Linked DNA regions of Struthio camelus. The protein of the gene in region 2 interacts with the protein of the main gene of each other region in a pairwise test. Links are inferred from orthologs where the notes say so. Each region holds a gene or a part of one and is shown on either strand. Other genes may lie near its edges.

Region 1 (7,113 bases), on a different chromosome or scaffold from region 2:
TGCCAAAAGGGGGAAAGCTACCTCCCTGCTCTCCTGGGCTACAGCTCTCCTCTCCTACCTCTGTCTTTAGCCTGAATTGCAAGCCGCCTCGAGCAGCAGCTTTGAAGGGGCCGTGCATACTGAGCGTGCTACGGTATAATAAGCATTCCCTCTCAGAGCTATAGCACAGAAATATTAACACCCCATGCTTAAGAATCATGAGGCCCACAGGAAACAAAAAGGAATAAAAGTTCCTTGCCATAGTTTAAGGTACTCCCATTATGCAAGGCAACCACACCTTAATTACTGCCACCCCCCTAAAGCAGTTTTCCCCAACACTTACAGACAGTAAAATAATATGGGCTTTTGCTAGGGACAAACACCAAAACCTCAGCCAGGTTAGAAACCTCTGAGAACGGGCAGAGCAAGAAGAATAGCCCAGAAATAAACATCCCTCTCCCAGTCCCCACCGACCCCTCCCTGCTGCCTTTGCTCATAAAAGCAGTCTCCTTCACTTTACAAGCTAAGCATTTTTGCAACAGGCACCTTTCCTTATCGCAAGGAAACGTTCACCAGCAAGTTCACGCTGAAATAGTTCAAGACTGGGATCTTTATACATCTCAGATACTTAGCCAGCATCAGTCTTAGGGAAGCGTGATGAAAACAAGGAAGAGTCCTGGTCAGCTTACGCACTGCAATGCGCCTCAGAGCACAAAACTGCTTAGCTGAAGAGCTTGTCACACTGCTGGAAGACTTTGCTAGTAATGGCTAAATAACTGCTAGAAATGAAAACTTACTGTGTTCTAGCTTTGTCATGCCATCAGGTGGGAGCTGCCGTCCCTGGAAAGAAGGGCCCGGGAGGCTGCGAACACCTCACTTTCATTAGTTCATTCACTGCTAAGTCTCCCGGCAAACAGCAGGGGCTGGAAGCATTCAGACCATTTAGCGTTATAGCCGATAGTGCCTGAGCAAACAGCCAGAGGAAGAGCATTACACACTCACCTCAGCCCCTTCTGCCAGCTGCCAAGTGATCTTTTCGGAGCATCCGGACAAACTCTCGGCAGCGAAGCAGCACCAAGACAACAAGCACGCAGCCCATAACGAAGCACGCCACCTTAACAGTACTAGCGTGCTCTGCAACCCGGCAGTAACGCCTACAGAAAAGCTCTGAGGACTGCAAAGCCAGGCAACTTGATCCAACTCTCCTCCAGGAGGCAGCTCCACCACATCAACTTAAATGCAGCCTGTTCCGCCCAGCTCTTAATCAGCTGTGATTAAACTCAAAGAGAGACAAAGGCTCCAGGGAGCAGAGCTAGTCATTCTCAGAAAGACAGCCAGAGGTGCGCCTCTGCTCCCGATGACGTCTTGCCACACACCAAAGAGCGTGCCCTGGAGAGTACCTTTTTCAGGGATGCCTCACCTGAAAACTCAGCCAGCATAGACAAAAGCCTGCTCTAAACACTACTCTCTCTCTGAAACCACGCTGGGCGACCGAGGTCCTCCTGCTTCTAGGCGTGCAAAATCGAACTGACTGACCACATCCACAGGGCTGGTGAATATAAGGCATTTCATCCTTCCTCTGGAAAAACTCCATTTTGCACTCCCCCCCCCCCAGTCAATCCCAGAGTCCTCAAGCCCTTGTCTTTACGCTAGCTAGTTCCCCTCTACTTGCTTTCTCTTCTCCTCCTGCTTGCCCACAGCAGTCATTCGCCTCGTATGTAATGACACGTGTGGCTTTAAAGGATGGCAACACTGAGGCACTTGCAAAAGCCTCCGCTAGAAAAGATTGGCTATGACATGAGCAAACCACGCTAGCCTAGCAATAGGTTGTAGTACTGAACGCTTGCCTGAGCATTTGCAGACATGCATAGACATACACACACGCTCCAACTGACACCGCGTAGAACAGCTGAAGTTGCCAGCACAGGACAGGCCTAAACATTCACATCAGGTAGAAATACCGTCGCTGGGCCGGGGGGGGGGGGGCAGCCGCACCTCGCCGAGGGCAGCAGACAGGGCCGGGGCACCGAGCAGAATGGGAGTGATGAGGGGCAGCGAGAGGAGAAGGTGCTGGGGGGGGGCAGGTGCGTGTGGCACAGCATGCTGCAGGTTTTATCACACAGTGGCCCAAAAACATTTGGCTGCAAAATAATTCTTAACTCAGGAAGCCATAGACAGTCTTTTCCCACATCACGCTTTTTCTGAATACCAATAAGCATACAGAAAAGGAGTGAGGTCCCTGCTGTTGTAAAACTTCATGGTTCTCCAGCCCTTCTACACTTTGCAACAGCTGCTCGCTGTTGCGCCTTTCAGTAGCACGTGTTAGAGCTCCTAAAAGCTTGTCCAGCCCACAGAGAAGCGGTCAAAAAGCTTACCCTAGGCCATGGTCCCCTCTGGAGGACACTTAGCCCCTTGTTTACAGAGCTCCGGTGTTTCGTGCGCTGATAGATCATCTCAATGCATTCATCTATGCTTATTAGGTTAAGCTGAAAACCAATCAAGGAACAAATGTTAAAAGATCTATGCATTTAACCGAGGGGAGGAAGTCTCTCTTGGGACACTCAGTCAAGAAACAGGGAACTAGGTGCAGAGGAAAAGAATTACCGCCTCCGCCAACCCTGCACGCTTGGCACGAGCAGTGACGTTGGAGAGCTGGGAACTCAGCTGTCTGTTCAGAAACCAACATGCTTTATTCATTGTCTACAAGATGGGGAGTTTGTCCCTTTGAACCTTCAGTCACCTGACGCTCTCCACAATTCAAAGTGCGCTTATACCAACTGATGGTATCTGTTTGAGGTCAAGGAAATATCTGGAGAGGAAAAGTCCCCGTTTGTGACTTCTGTTCCAAACCAACACGTGCTTCCGTTCGGAAAGCACAGCTCCGCGTTTCCCCAGACTGGGAGCGGCGACACAGACGCGCAGGGAGCTTGTGAAGAACGTTGTCTCAACACATTGCATTGCAAGAGGGATCAGCATGTGCTCCGCACCTGCCTGGCACGCGGGCCGCCCGGGATCGGCCCAGGAGCCACCCGCAGCAGCACCCATCGTGCCCCTCTGCCCCGGATCCTGCCTCGCGCCACTTCTCACGCCCCACTTCTGCCATCGCACCCCCAGCCCCATGGCACCCTGCAGCCACGTCTCAACTCCCGCTGCTTATTACCATAAGGCAATGAACCGAGACCTTTATCTCCTCCTGCTCTTCTCCCTGCTGCAGCAGTCGGCCCCGTGTTCTTGCCCGCCTGTATTCCCCGTATGGCCCGTGGTGGACACACGTCCCCGGGGGATGCTGAGATGGAGTCGGAAGCGGATCGCTCTAACTGGTTCATCATTTGCTGCGCTCGCTTGCCAAGAAGCCGGTCGGCATCGTCACGGCCTGGGGGAACGGTCCAGCGTTTAACACTCAACAGCACTTATTACAGCTAACTGTGGAGAACCTGGAAGGACACGGAAACGAGCAGGGCGGAAAACCGTAAGTCTGGGAGCAGACAGCGAGCAGCTGAGGGAAGCGCGGGTCCCTTCCAGGACGCAGAAAGGAGCTTCCAAGACTGAGCGTCGCGGGCGGGAGGGCCGGGGCCGGGGCCGAGCGGCGGCTCGTCGCCGGTCTGGCTGCCATGGAGGACGGTCCCCTCGGGCTGCCGCCCGGAGCCCAGGGCAGGAGCCGCTCCCGCCACCCCGCCGTCGGGCCGGGCCGGGCCGGGCCGAGCCGAGCCGAGCGGCAGCCGCCGCCGCCGCCGAGGGCGCGATCCCCGCCAGAGCGGCTGCCCCCCGCCGCCGCCGCAGCCGCCGCTCGGCCCCGGGCACCGCTCCCGCCGCCGCCGCCGCCGCCGGAGGGCGCCAACGGCCGCCGGGGGGGCGCCAACGGCCGCCGCGCCTCGCGCCCGAGCTCGCCGCCGCCGCCGCCGCCGGGGCGCGCGCAGGGGCGGGGGGGAGGCGGGGCGCGTCGCTTCCTGTCGCCGCCGCCGCCCGCTCCCTCCCGTCGCCCCTCCCGGTCAGGCGGCGAAGCAGCGCGGCTCGGCGCAACCCGGCCCAGCCCGCGGCCCCCTCCGGCCCCTCTGTCCCTGCAGTGGCGCCAGGCAGAGGCGACCCCTTCGCCCCGCCCGGGGAGCGGCGCGGCGCGGCGCGGCGGCCATGTTGCGGCGGGCCGGGGCTGCGGGCGGCCGGTTGCGCTGAGGCGCGGGCGCCGCCGCCGCCGCTCTCCCCGCGCTGAGGGCTCCCGGCGGCGGCGGCCGCCCGGGCGGCATGGAGCTGGGCCGGCTGGAGTACCTGCAGGCCCTGGTCACCGAGTTCCAGGCCACCGACAGCCCAGGTGACGCCCCGGCGGCAGCGGGCGGCGGACAGCTCGCTCGGGACCGCCGAGCGCCGCCGCTCCGCCTTCACCTGCCGCTTCTCCCCCCTTGCAGACGCCAAGGAGCAGGTGCTGGCCAACCTGGCCAACTTCGCCTACGACCCCCACAACTACGAGCACCTCCGGCAGCTGCAGGTGCTGGATCTGTTCCTTGACGCGCTGGCCGAGGACAGCGAGAGCCTGGTGGAGTTCGCGATCGGTAAGGACGGCGGCGGGGCCAGGGCTGCCGGCTCGGCCCGGCCCGGCCCGGCCCCTCGGAAGCTCAAGCAACATGTGGCTGCTTGTGCTGCTTGGGGTGCTGCAAGGGACCGGGCTGCAGCCCTAAAGCCTTGTTTAGAGGGGAGCGAACGGCAGCTTCCCCCCCCCCCCACCACCCCACCCCGAAGTTCAGTATAGTTGCAGCACTTAAAAAAAAGATTGTTTTCTGTAAAGCAGGTTTTTTTATGCTAGAAGAAAACACTGGCTGAATGACTTCTTACCCAAATCTCTCCTATACGGAGACGGTCACTGAGAGGGAATTTGTGCCCTGCGTAAGGCACAGATGCAGTGTTTCCACCCTAGTGCTGACAGCCAGTCTGCCAGAACGCTTGTCGGGAGTAATCCGGCGAGCCCTCCGAGGAGTCCCTGACACCGAGTCATCGTGCCCTGCATACAGGGAACGGGGCCGGATCCTCACTGGGAGTGACTCCGTGAGACGTTAAATACGCTCTGTTTTTAAGGTTTGTTGACTGAGCTACACCAGGATATGCCTGCACCTTAAAGTCTCAAGTACTAATATTGTAGGCCTCTCGACTAATATTAGTCTCTCTGTTCTCTGGTTTTGTAAAACATCTGCCATATACTGCTGGATTGTAGCCACGTCTAGGGTCAAGTGATAAAGGTATTTTTCATTCTGTGGAAGACGTTATGTCCAGAGGCACAGTGCCCTCTAATGACATACTGGAGAAGGAGTGTTCTAGTGGAAAATCTCCAGGAAGAATCAAGAAAACTTAGCGCAGGAGCACTTAGCACTTTTCCATCCAGATCTCACAGCCAATCTGGCTGCTTATTTCCGTACTGGAAAACGGGGATCAGCAAAATTGGCATCACTGCGCAATTGCATTTAGGTAAATAATTTCCATTACGACACTGAGTTAGAAAAAAGAGGTTATTTAAGATGATTAAAATCCCATTTTGTAATTCTCAACATCTTTAAGATTTAGCACGTTTACCTCTTATTGCTCAGGAGAAATATTTTTCTGTGTCAGTTTATAAAAAGAAGGAAAGATGAAGTTGGCACAATTGTTTAAACAAAAATAAGGAGAGGAAACGTGAAATGTGTACCAAGTTATGTGCATTACAGAGATTTAATTGTGGTAGTTTCAACTGTAAGAAAGAGTAAAGGTTCCTAGTTGTAGCAGTGGACTTAAATCTTCGAAAAAGGTGAGGGAGTAGAGAAGAGCGTCTTGCGTGCATCAGAACGTTCTCTTCTGCTGTGTTTCAGGTGGTCTTTGTAACCTCTGTCTGGATAAAACTAACAAAGACTACATCTTGGAGGCGAATGGGGTAGAGCCCATAATAAACTGCCTGTCCAGCTCCAATGAGGAGACAGTGATGTCGGCAGTCACAACGCTGATGTACCTGACAACGCCGCAGTCGCGCCAGCAGACCACAGCTCTCCCAGTGGTGGAGTGCATGCTTCGCTTCTCTCTCTCGGCCAGCAGAAGGCTAAGCAATCTGGCAACTGTCTTCCTTGAGGATTACTGCACACCTCTCCAAGTGGAAGAGGCCAGGAATCTAAGCAAACACACAGCAGTGGGGATTCCTCTCCCTAAGGACTGAAACTGCCCAGAGCAGCTTGGCGCTCTTACGAGGGAGGTTTCCCTCTTAACATCCCAGCCTTCCAATTTCTGCTCAGCAGGTCAAGAGTGTGCCGAGAGCAACTTTAAACAGGGAAGATGGTCAGACCAGCGCTGGATTTTAGTATTAATACAAAGGAAGGCACAGTGCTACAATGTGAATCAGTCTAGACATGAAACTTAAAAAAATAAAATAAAAAAATAAAACAGGTCATGGCTGTTGGAGAGCGGGCTGCCAAGTGCAGGCCAGCACCCAGCTTGCGCAAATAACCCTTCCCAGCAATTAGCCTTTTCTGCGCAGGTTATTGGGCAGCTTACATCCCCTTTGGTTCCTCACTATACAGAACAGATCATAACTGTGCTACATAACAGGAAGTGGAAAGTTCTATTTCTTTCATTGTCACTGGTGAAAAAGGTGAAGATTTAAAAAAAAAAAATAAGGCTCATGGCAGTCTGGCTCACAAGAACAGCTGTCTTGTAAAACCTACTCTTAATAAAACATTAGCTTAAATGCTGTGTAAACAGTTTTGTATAAGAACATAAATGTTTTTCTGCAGCGCTTGCAACCCAGCCTTCACCTACACTCATTAATGCACGTGGGCCAGAAACTGAAGCCAGCTTGGTCTCCTTTCATTATCAGCCAATGACGCAAAAAGCAACCCAAAAGCCAGGGTGACTAAATACATAAAATTTAAAACGTTTGGCTGTTGGACGCCGTGCTCCCTAAGCAGACACGCTGTGTCTGCTCAAGTTTCACAGCCTTAGTACTTTTTTTTCCCTCCTTTCTGCCCTCCCCCATATGCCCATTCAGCTCAAGATGTGGGAGTGAGCTTAAAAAACACCAAAACAATGTCTTTGGCAGTTTCTACTCATCTACACCAATCAAACACCAGTAACAACTCTACAGAGATTAACTAGTTTAATACAGAGCAACTTTCTAGAAACCTGGAG
Region 2 (6,991 bases):
GAGCAAGGGTGACTGCAGGAAGAGCCGGGCTGGCACGCTGATCCTGACACTGCCTGGTGCCCAGCTCTCTAAATGCTGCAAGAAGACATAGAGGAGCTGAATCCAAGGTGACCTGTCTTCTGCCTTAAGTCCTAGCCTGCTCTCCAGCCATTAACCACTTCTTTAGTCCTGCAGTCCAAGAGGCCTTAGCCCTGCTGAACTGGCTAATGAACTTCACTAAACCCCTGCTGGAACCCAGAAGCTTTCAGCGGTGCTCACTTTCTGTGAGGTTCTGAGCTCAAAGAGCTACCTCCAGCCTCGGAGAGCACGGGAAAAAATTCCTTTTATCACTGCCTTCAATCTCACACTGCTCCTTTGGTACTCGTGACACAGAAGGCGAGACACTCCCCTCCCCTGCCCTATTCCTATATCCCAGATCTAGCATACATCCTTCCCAAAGGAATTTGACTCGATCTACCGCTAGGAGGAGCTTCCTCTAGACATCTCCTGCCTCAGGCGGCCTCTAGTTCTGTCCCATCCTACCCTGCAGCAGTGCTAATCACTGCACCGCAGACCTGTACAGGTGATGCTCTCACAGCGGTTCACCTGACTGCTCACAAGCAGAGCCTCAGATACTTGCTTTCCATCCCCTTAGCAATGTTGCATCTCATTAGGTTTTAGATTATGGCTGTGCACTAGTGCACCTCCAGCTCTTCCCTGTTAATTAAAAACCTGTAACTTCTTTAGGGAGCTGAACTATACGGCAGCTACCTCTTGGCCAGCCTTTCTCACTTCCTCCCTGATCTCTCTGGTGTGGCTAGTGTTGGCACTGTCTCTTCTGCAAACTATGCTCCATCCCTGCCTACTCCCATCTGCAGCGGACAAACGAGCACTGTCAGGGCATAGCAACCCAGACGTCCTGACGCAGGGGAGGCAGATGAAGCTGCAAGAGGCTTGCTGAAAAGCTGGGAGGGAACGGGGCTCAGGGCGTGCGTGCTGCAGCTCCGGTGGGAGGACAAGCACCCGGCACCTCACCTGAGCAGAATGCAGTTCTCCAGCATGCCCCTCTTCCTGCTCTCATACAGCAGTCGGGCTCGCTTGGTCTCCAGCGGCTCATCGGGGCGCTCCTGCCAGGGTGGTAAGGGGATCTCTAGGATGTCCTTCCCCGAGTCCGTGGGGGAGTCTCCGCGATAGCCGCACTGCACAGACACGTGCCCCAAAACAGGCCGGCAGAGCACCCGTCCGGACAGCGAGCAGAGCTGCTGGAGGGGACACAGACAGCGCAAGCGTCATACCCTGACGTGCAGCAGACTTCAGGCCTGTCTGCCCTCATGCAGTGGAGTCAGGGAGACTCCCCAGCCCAGACAAGGCCCCCCCAGGACCTGCTGCCCCCTCAGCCCAGGCACGGCACCCCCAGGCCCCCCAGGCCAGACACGGCCCCCCCAAGCCCTGCTGCCCCCCCAACCCAGACACAGCTCCCCAGGCCCTGCTGCCCCCCCCAGCCCAGACACGGCTCCCCAGGCCCTGCTGTCCCCCCCCCCAGCGCTGACAAAGCCCCCCCAGACCCTCCAGCCCAGACACAGCTCCTCAGACCCTGCTGTCCCCCCCCAACCCAGGCACAGCCCCCCGGGCCCTGCTGCCCCCCCAGCCCAGACACGGCCCCCCGGGCCCTGCTGTCCCCCCCCAGCCCAGACACGGCCCCCCGGGCCCTGCTGTCCCCCCCCAGCCCAGACACGGCCCCCCGGGCCCTGCTGTCCCCCCCCAACCCAGACACGGCCCCCCGGGCCCTGCTGCCCCCCCCCAGCCCAGACACAGCTCCTCAGACCCTGCTGCCCCCCCCAGCCCAGACAAGGCCCCCCCCCAGGCCCCCCAGCCCAGACACAGCTCCTCAGACCCTGCTGCCCCCCGCAGCCCAGACACGGCCCCCCCAGGCCCCCCAGCCCAGACATGGCTCCTCAGACCCTGCTGCCCCCCGCAGCCCAGACACGGCCCCCCGGGCCCCCCAGCCCAGACACAGCTCCTCAGACCCTGCTGCCCCCCCAGCCCAGACACAGCCCCCCCAGGCCCCCCAGCCCAGACACGGCTCCTCAGACCCTGCTGCCCCCCCAGCCCAGACACAGCCCCCCAGGCCCCCCAGCCCAGACATGGCTCCTCAGACCCTGCTGCCCCCCCAGCCCAGACACGGCCCCCCCAGGCCCCCCAGCCCAGACACGGCTCCTCAGACCCTGCTGCCCCCCCCAGCCCAGACACAGCCCCCCCAGGCCCCCCCAGCCCAGACACGGCTCCTCAGACCCTGCTGCCCCCTCAGCCCAGACACAGCCCCCCAGGCCCTGCTGTCCCCCCCCCAGCCCAGACACGGCCCCCCGGGCCCTGCTGTCGCCCCCCAGCCCAGACACGGCCCCCCGGGCCCTGCTGCCCCCCCCAGCCCAGACAAGGCCCCCCCCCAGGCCCCCCAGCCCAGACACAGCTCCTCAGACCCTGCTGCCCCCCGCAGCCCAGACACGGCCCCCCCAGGCCCCCCAGCCCAGACATGGCTCCTCAGACCCTGCTGCCCCCCTCAGCCCAGACACGGCCCCCCCAGGCCCCCCAGCCCAGACACAGCTCCTCAGACCTTGCTGCCCCCCCAGCCCAGACACAGCCCCCCCAGGCCCCCCAGCCCAGACACAGCTCCTCAGACCCTGCTGCCCCCCCAGCCCAGACACAGCCCCCCAGGCCCCCCAGCCCAGACATGGCTCCTCAGACCCTGCTGCCCCCCCAGCCCAGACACGGCCCCCCGGGCCCTGCTGTCCCCCCCCCAACCCAGACACGGCCCCCCGGGCCCTGCTGTCCCCCCCCAACCCAGACACGGCCCCCCGGGCCCTGCTGCCCCCCCCAGCCCAGACACAGCTCCTCAGACCCTGCTGCCCCCCCCAGCCCAGACAAGGCCCCCCCCCAGGCCCCCCAGCCCAGACACAGCTCCTCAGACCCTGCTGCCCCCCGCAGCCCAGACACGGCCCCTCAGACCTTGCTGCCCCCCCAGCCCAGACACAGCCCCCCCAGGCCCCCCAGCCCAGACACGGCTCCTCAGACCCTGTTGCCCCCCCAGCCCAGACACGGCCCCCCAGGCCCCCCAGCCCAGACATGGCTCCTCAGACCCTGCTGCCCCCCCAGCCCAGACACGGCCCCCCCAGGCCCCCCAGCCCAGACACGGCTCCTCAGACCCTGCTGCCCCCCCCAGCCCAGACACAGCCCCCCCAGGCCCCCCAGCCCAGACACGGCTCCTCAGACCCTGCTGCCCCCTCAGCCCAGACACAGCCCCCCAGGCCCTGCTGTCCCCCCCCCAGCCCAGACATGGCCCCCCGGGCCCTGCTGTCCCCCCCCAGCCCAGACACGGCCCCCCGGGCCCTGCTGTCCCCCCCCAACCCAGACACGGCCCCCCGGGCCCTGCTGCCCCCCCCAGCCCAGACACAGCTCCTCAGACCCTGCTGCCCCCCTCAGCCCAGACACGGCCCCCCCAGGCCCCCCAGCCCAGACACGGCTCCTCAGACCCTGCTGCCCCCTCAGCCCAGACACAGCCCCCCAGGCCCTGCTGTCCCCCCCCCAGCCCAGACACGGCCCCCCCAGGCCCCCCAGCCCAGACACGGCTCCTCAGACCCTGCTGCCCCCCCAGCCCAGACACGGCCCCCCCAGGTTCCCCAGGCCCTGCTGGCCCCGGACCCTCCTCGATCCCTCTGGCTCCATCCCTCTCAGCTGCCCCCCAGCTGCTCCCACAAGGTCACCGCCCCTCACCTCCCAAGCCCAGCCCAGCCCTGCCCCAGGCCACCCCCAGGTCACCGTCACCCTGGCCACGGCCATGGCTCTCAGCATCCCGCCTGGCCGCCGCCGCCCCGCGGAGCCGCTCTGCGAAGCGGGGCAGCCCAGCTCTATGGCCCGGCGGCGCGCGTCGACGCGAGCTACGGGGGGGGGCGGCCGGGCGGGAGGGCCGGAAGGGGCGGGGCCGCCGCCGGAAGGGGCGGGGCGGCGGCGGTGGCGCGGCGGCGGCGGCGGCGGCGGCGGCGGCGGCGGAGGCAGTGGCAGTGGCAGTGGTGAGCGCGGGCGGCGCGCGCGCGCGCTGGGGCCTGCTCGCCAGGCGGGGCCGCGCGCGGTAACGGGCGGGGCGGGGCGGGGCCGCGTCAGGGCCGAGGCGGGGGGGGGCCCGGCCGCCGCCGCCGCCGCCGCCGCCGCCGCCGCCGGGGACGGGAGGGGAGGTAGGGCGCGACCGGCCGCTTCCTTCCCCTCCCCCCGCCGTTGGGGCAGGGGCGGGGCGGGGGGCCGGGGGGCGGTAGCGCTGTCCCGGGGCGGTTTGAGGACTGCTCCCCGGGGGGTGTTTCGGGGGAGCGGGTCACTGTCCGCCGGGACGGGGTTAGTCCGGGGCCGGGAGGAGGTGGTGGCCCCCTCCCTCCCCCGGGGGGGGGGGGTGCTGTCCGCGGAGAGGGGTCCGGGCTGGGGGGCGGGCGTTGGGTGCCCCCACCGGGGGGGGTACGATCCGCTTCCCGGGGATGGGTCCAGAGCGGGGGTTTTGGGGGGGGATTATTGGGGATGTAGGGTGGGGGGGCTGGTGTGCTTATCACTCTCGGTGTTGAAACAAGGGGGGGGTGAGATGGCCCCAGGGGACGAATCTGGGCTTGGGGGAGGGGGTCACGCTGCCCTCAGGATGAAGGAAATAGGGTGATGTTGCCCCCGGGGCTTGGTCTTGATTTGGGGGATTGGGGTGACGTTGGCCCCAGGGACTGGATCTTGGCTAGGGGGTTGGGATGAGCTGGCCCCCCAGGGGCGACCCGTGGCTAGGGGGTGTGCTGTCCCCGGGCACGGGCTTCTCTAGGAGAGGAGGAGTTGGTGTTGGCCCTGGGCACGGCGCGGCTGGTGCCTGCCGGGAGAAAAAGCCTAAAACCCTATTGGTAGTGGCGGTGGGGCAAGGGGATGCGGGGGGGGGGGGGCGCGCAGGAGGTTTCCAGCGCTAAGGTGATCCCCCTCCCCTCCGTCGCCCGCTGCAGTGCACCTTTGGTCTTCCTGCCTCGCCCCGGTCCCCTCCTGGGTTCTCGGTCCTGTCTCTGGAAATATGTCCGAGGGAGTGGATCTGATTGATATCTACGCCGACGAAGAGTTCAATCAGGTGAGCGGGGCACCAGGCCATGGCGCCGCCCCGTGCTGGGACCACTGTGGTGGGGGGGGGGAGAGGGAGGGCGGGCAGCTGCTTGAGCAGCTCACCCTTTTTTGGGGGGAAGAGCACGTTAACCAGAGTTGGCCAGCTCACTGGCAAGACGCTTAAAGCGGTTGGTGTTAGTGTGTGTGTACTTATTGAGCACAGGCAGAAGAAGTGGCTTGTGTGGGAGGAATACAGTGGGACAGCATTGAAGAGTCCCTCTGGGAAACTAAGGACTGGGACTGTCATCAAATCACGGCAGCTGTGATTTTGAGCCATGAATAAAATGTGGTTTCTATAGGTTTTGCAGGGGATTCAATACATGGATGGTTACAAAATATTCAGGCAGTTGGGAGGGTTGAGAAGGAGGCAGGGTTTCCACCAAAACATTTACCGAGCTGTTGGTGACTGGGGATCAAAGTGGATAGTCGTGACCTGCTGTGGCTGGAGAAATAAGACGTCTAGACTAGAAGAGAGCTGCACCGAATATCTGTGAGAGGACTGCGTAGCAAGGGAGTTTGAAAGCACTGAACCTTGCGGGCCTGCAGATGTGCATGCTGGGTGGTGAGCTCTCTGGGGAAGCGCTGCGTGGAGACCTGCACGGTAACTCAAGATGGTCGGAGAGCTGCTGGTTGCAGGTCATCTGCCTCAGGTGCCGGGGGCCGAGACTGCCAGAGACCTGCCGAAAGAAATGGTGGAGAATGTGTGTGCGCAGCCTCTAGAGAAGCAGATTTTAGAGAGTTCAGAGATCTGGACAACTGAGGAGAGTGGGTGTGCCTGCACATCTTGGAAGATTGAAAACTGCCATGGAAAGACCATGGAGGAAAGTTGGTCCTTACTGGATGGCAAGCTGCAAGAACTAGAAGCAAAGCACAAGAAGGAATTGCCAGTTGGCTAGAGCTCCCAGAGGGCTGAAGAGGAGTCGAGGGCAATAAATCCTTTGTTCTGAAAGGCGGGAGGTTATCAAGAGAGAATATGCCTTAAGTTAAACATTCAGGGAAAAGTGAAACATCAGAAAAGCGTGTTAATTGCCTCAGAGATGAGAGAGAACTGAGAGATGCTTTCAGCTGTCTGGGAAGAAGCAGGAGTTCCCCACTGAAAGCAATTACATTAGAGAAGGGCAAAGTCAAATCTGGTCCTAACGTTGCCAGAATAATGGAAATCTCACTGCAAAAGTGAGTTGCAAAATAAATACGCAGTGTTTGCGCTGCCTATAGCTGCAGGCTGCCCTGCACAAGTATCCTCAAGCTCTGAAATACTTCTCCCTTCAGACCTGGGTGGTTCTGCAAAACTCTTCGAAGTCAGATCCCCCATGTGTTACACAATCTAAGACTACAATGCGACCGGATTGAACTATTTTGGGTTAGAAATAGTCTTAATTTGCATGTTGCCTTGCAAAAAGCTTTTAACAGTCAGAATCAGGAAAGTATACCTGGACTTGGGAGGCAGAAGGTAGAGTTAAACAGTTGAAGGAATAAAGATGGAAGGTCTGGAAAAAGGAAACATGTGGAGGTTGCTGGGCTGGAATTTAGAAATACATTAAACGCAAAATAACCAGCAACCATCATTTATGACAATTACCTTAAATGCCAAAGGAAAACAGTGAAAGAGCTGGAGGAAAATAAATAATATATCTTCATCTGCAGAAGGAGAAATGTGGCGTCGGCAGGTGTGATCTGGAAAGTCTCTGAACGTCTTGGAGGGTAACTGATGAAGAGCAAACAGGTGGGAGGGCTTAAAAGGAAAATTACTGTCACACTGCTGGTTTTCCACTTAGATGGTCAAATGCTGCCTGTCCTGCCTGTGCATTCAGGCTGGCTTGGCAGAGAAGGCTCATGTGCTGGAAGGCGT

What was found.
Region 1: the proteins of CPSF7 (region 2) and ARMC7 interact in binary tests that used the Homo sapiens proteins (3 or more experiments, as listed by UniProt). The two-hybrid records come from large-scale screens. The link is inferred for Struthio camelus from reciprocal best matches to the Homo sapiens genes CPSF7 and ARMC7.

Annotation. Positions count from the first base shown.
Region 1 is NC_090960.1:8,165,146-8,172,258, forward strand, and holds ARMC7 (armadillo repeat-containing protein 7), read left to right. Parts: upstream 1-4,096; 5' UTR 4,097-4,218; coding exon 4,219-4,285; intron 4,286-4,379; coding exon 4,380-4,523; intron 4,524-5,807; coding exon 5,808-6,145; 3' UTR 6,146-6,673; downstream 6,674-7,113. UniProt on the Homo sapiens protein: As a component of the minor spliceosome, involved in the splicing of U12-type introns in pre-mRNAs.
Region 2 is NC_090946.1:4,000,289-4,007,279, reverse strand, and holds the start of CPSF7 (cleavage and polyadenylation specificity factor subunit 7), read left to right. Parts: upstream 1-3,986; 5' UTR 3,987-4,043; intron 4,044-4,171; exon of another isoform or gene 4,172-4,205; intron 4,206-4,991; 5' UTR 4,992-5,056; coding exon 5,057-5,110; intron 5,111-6,991. Other genes in the region: SDHAF2 (succinate dehydrogenase assembly factor 2, mitochondrial), read right to left, coding at 1,015-1,241, 3,793-3,825.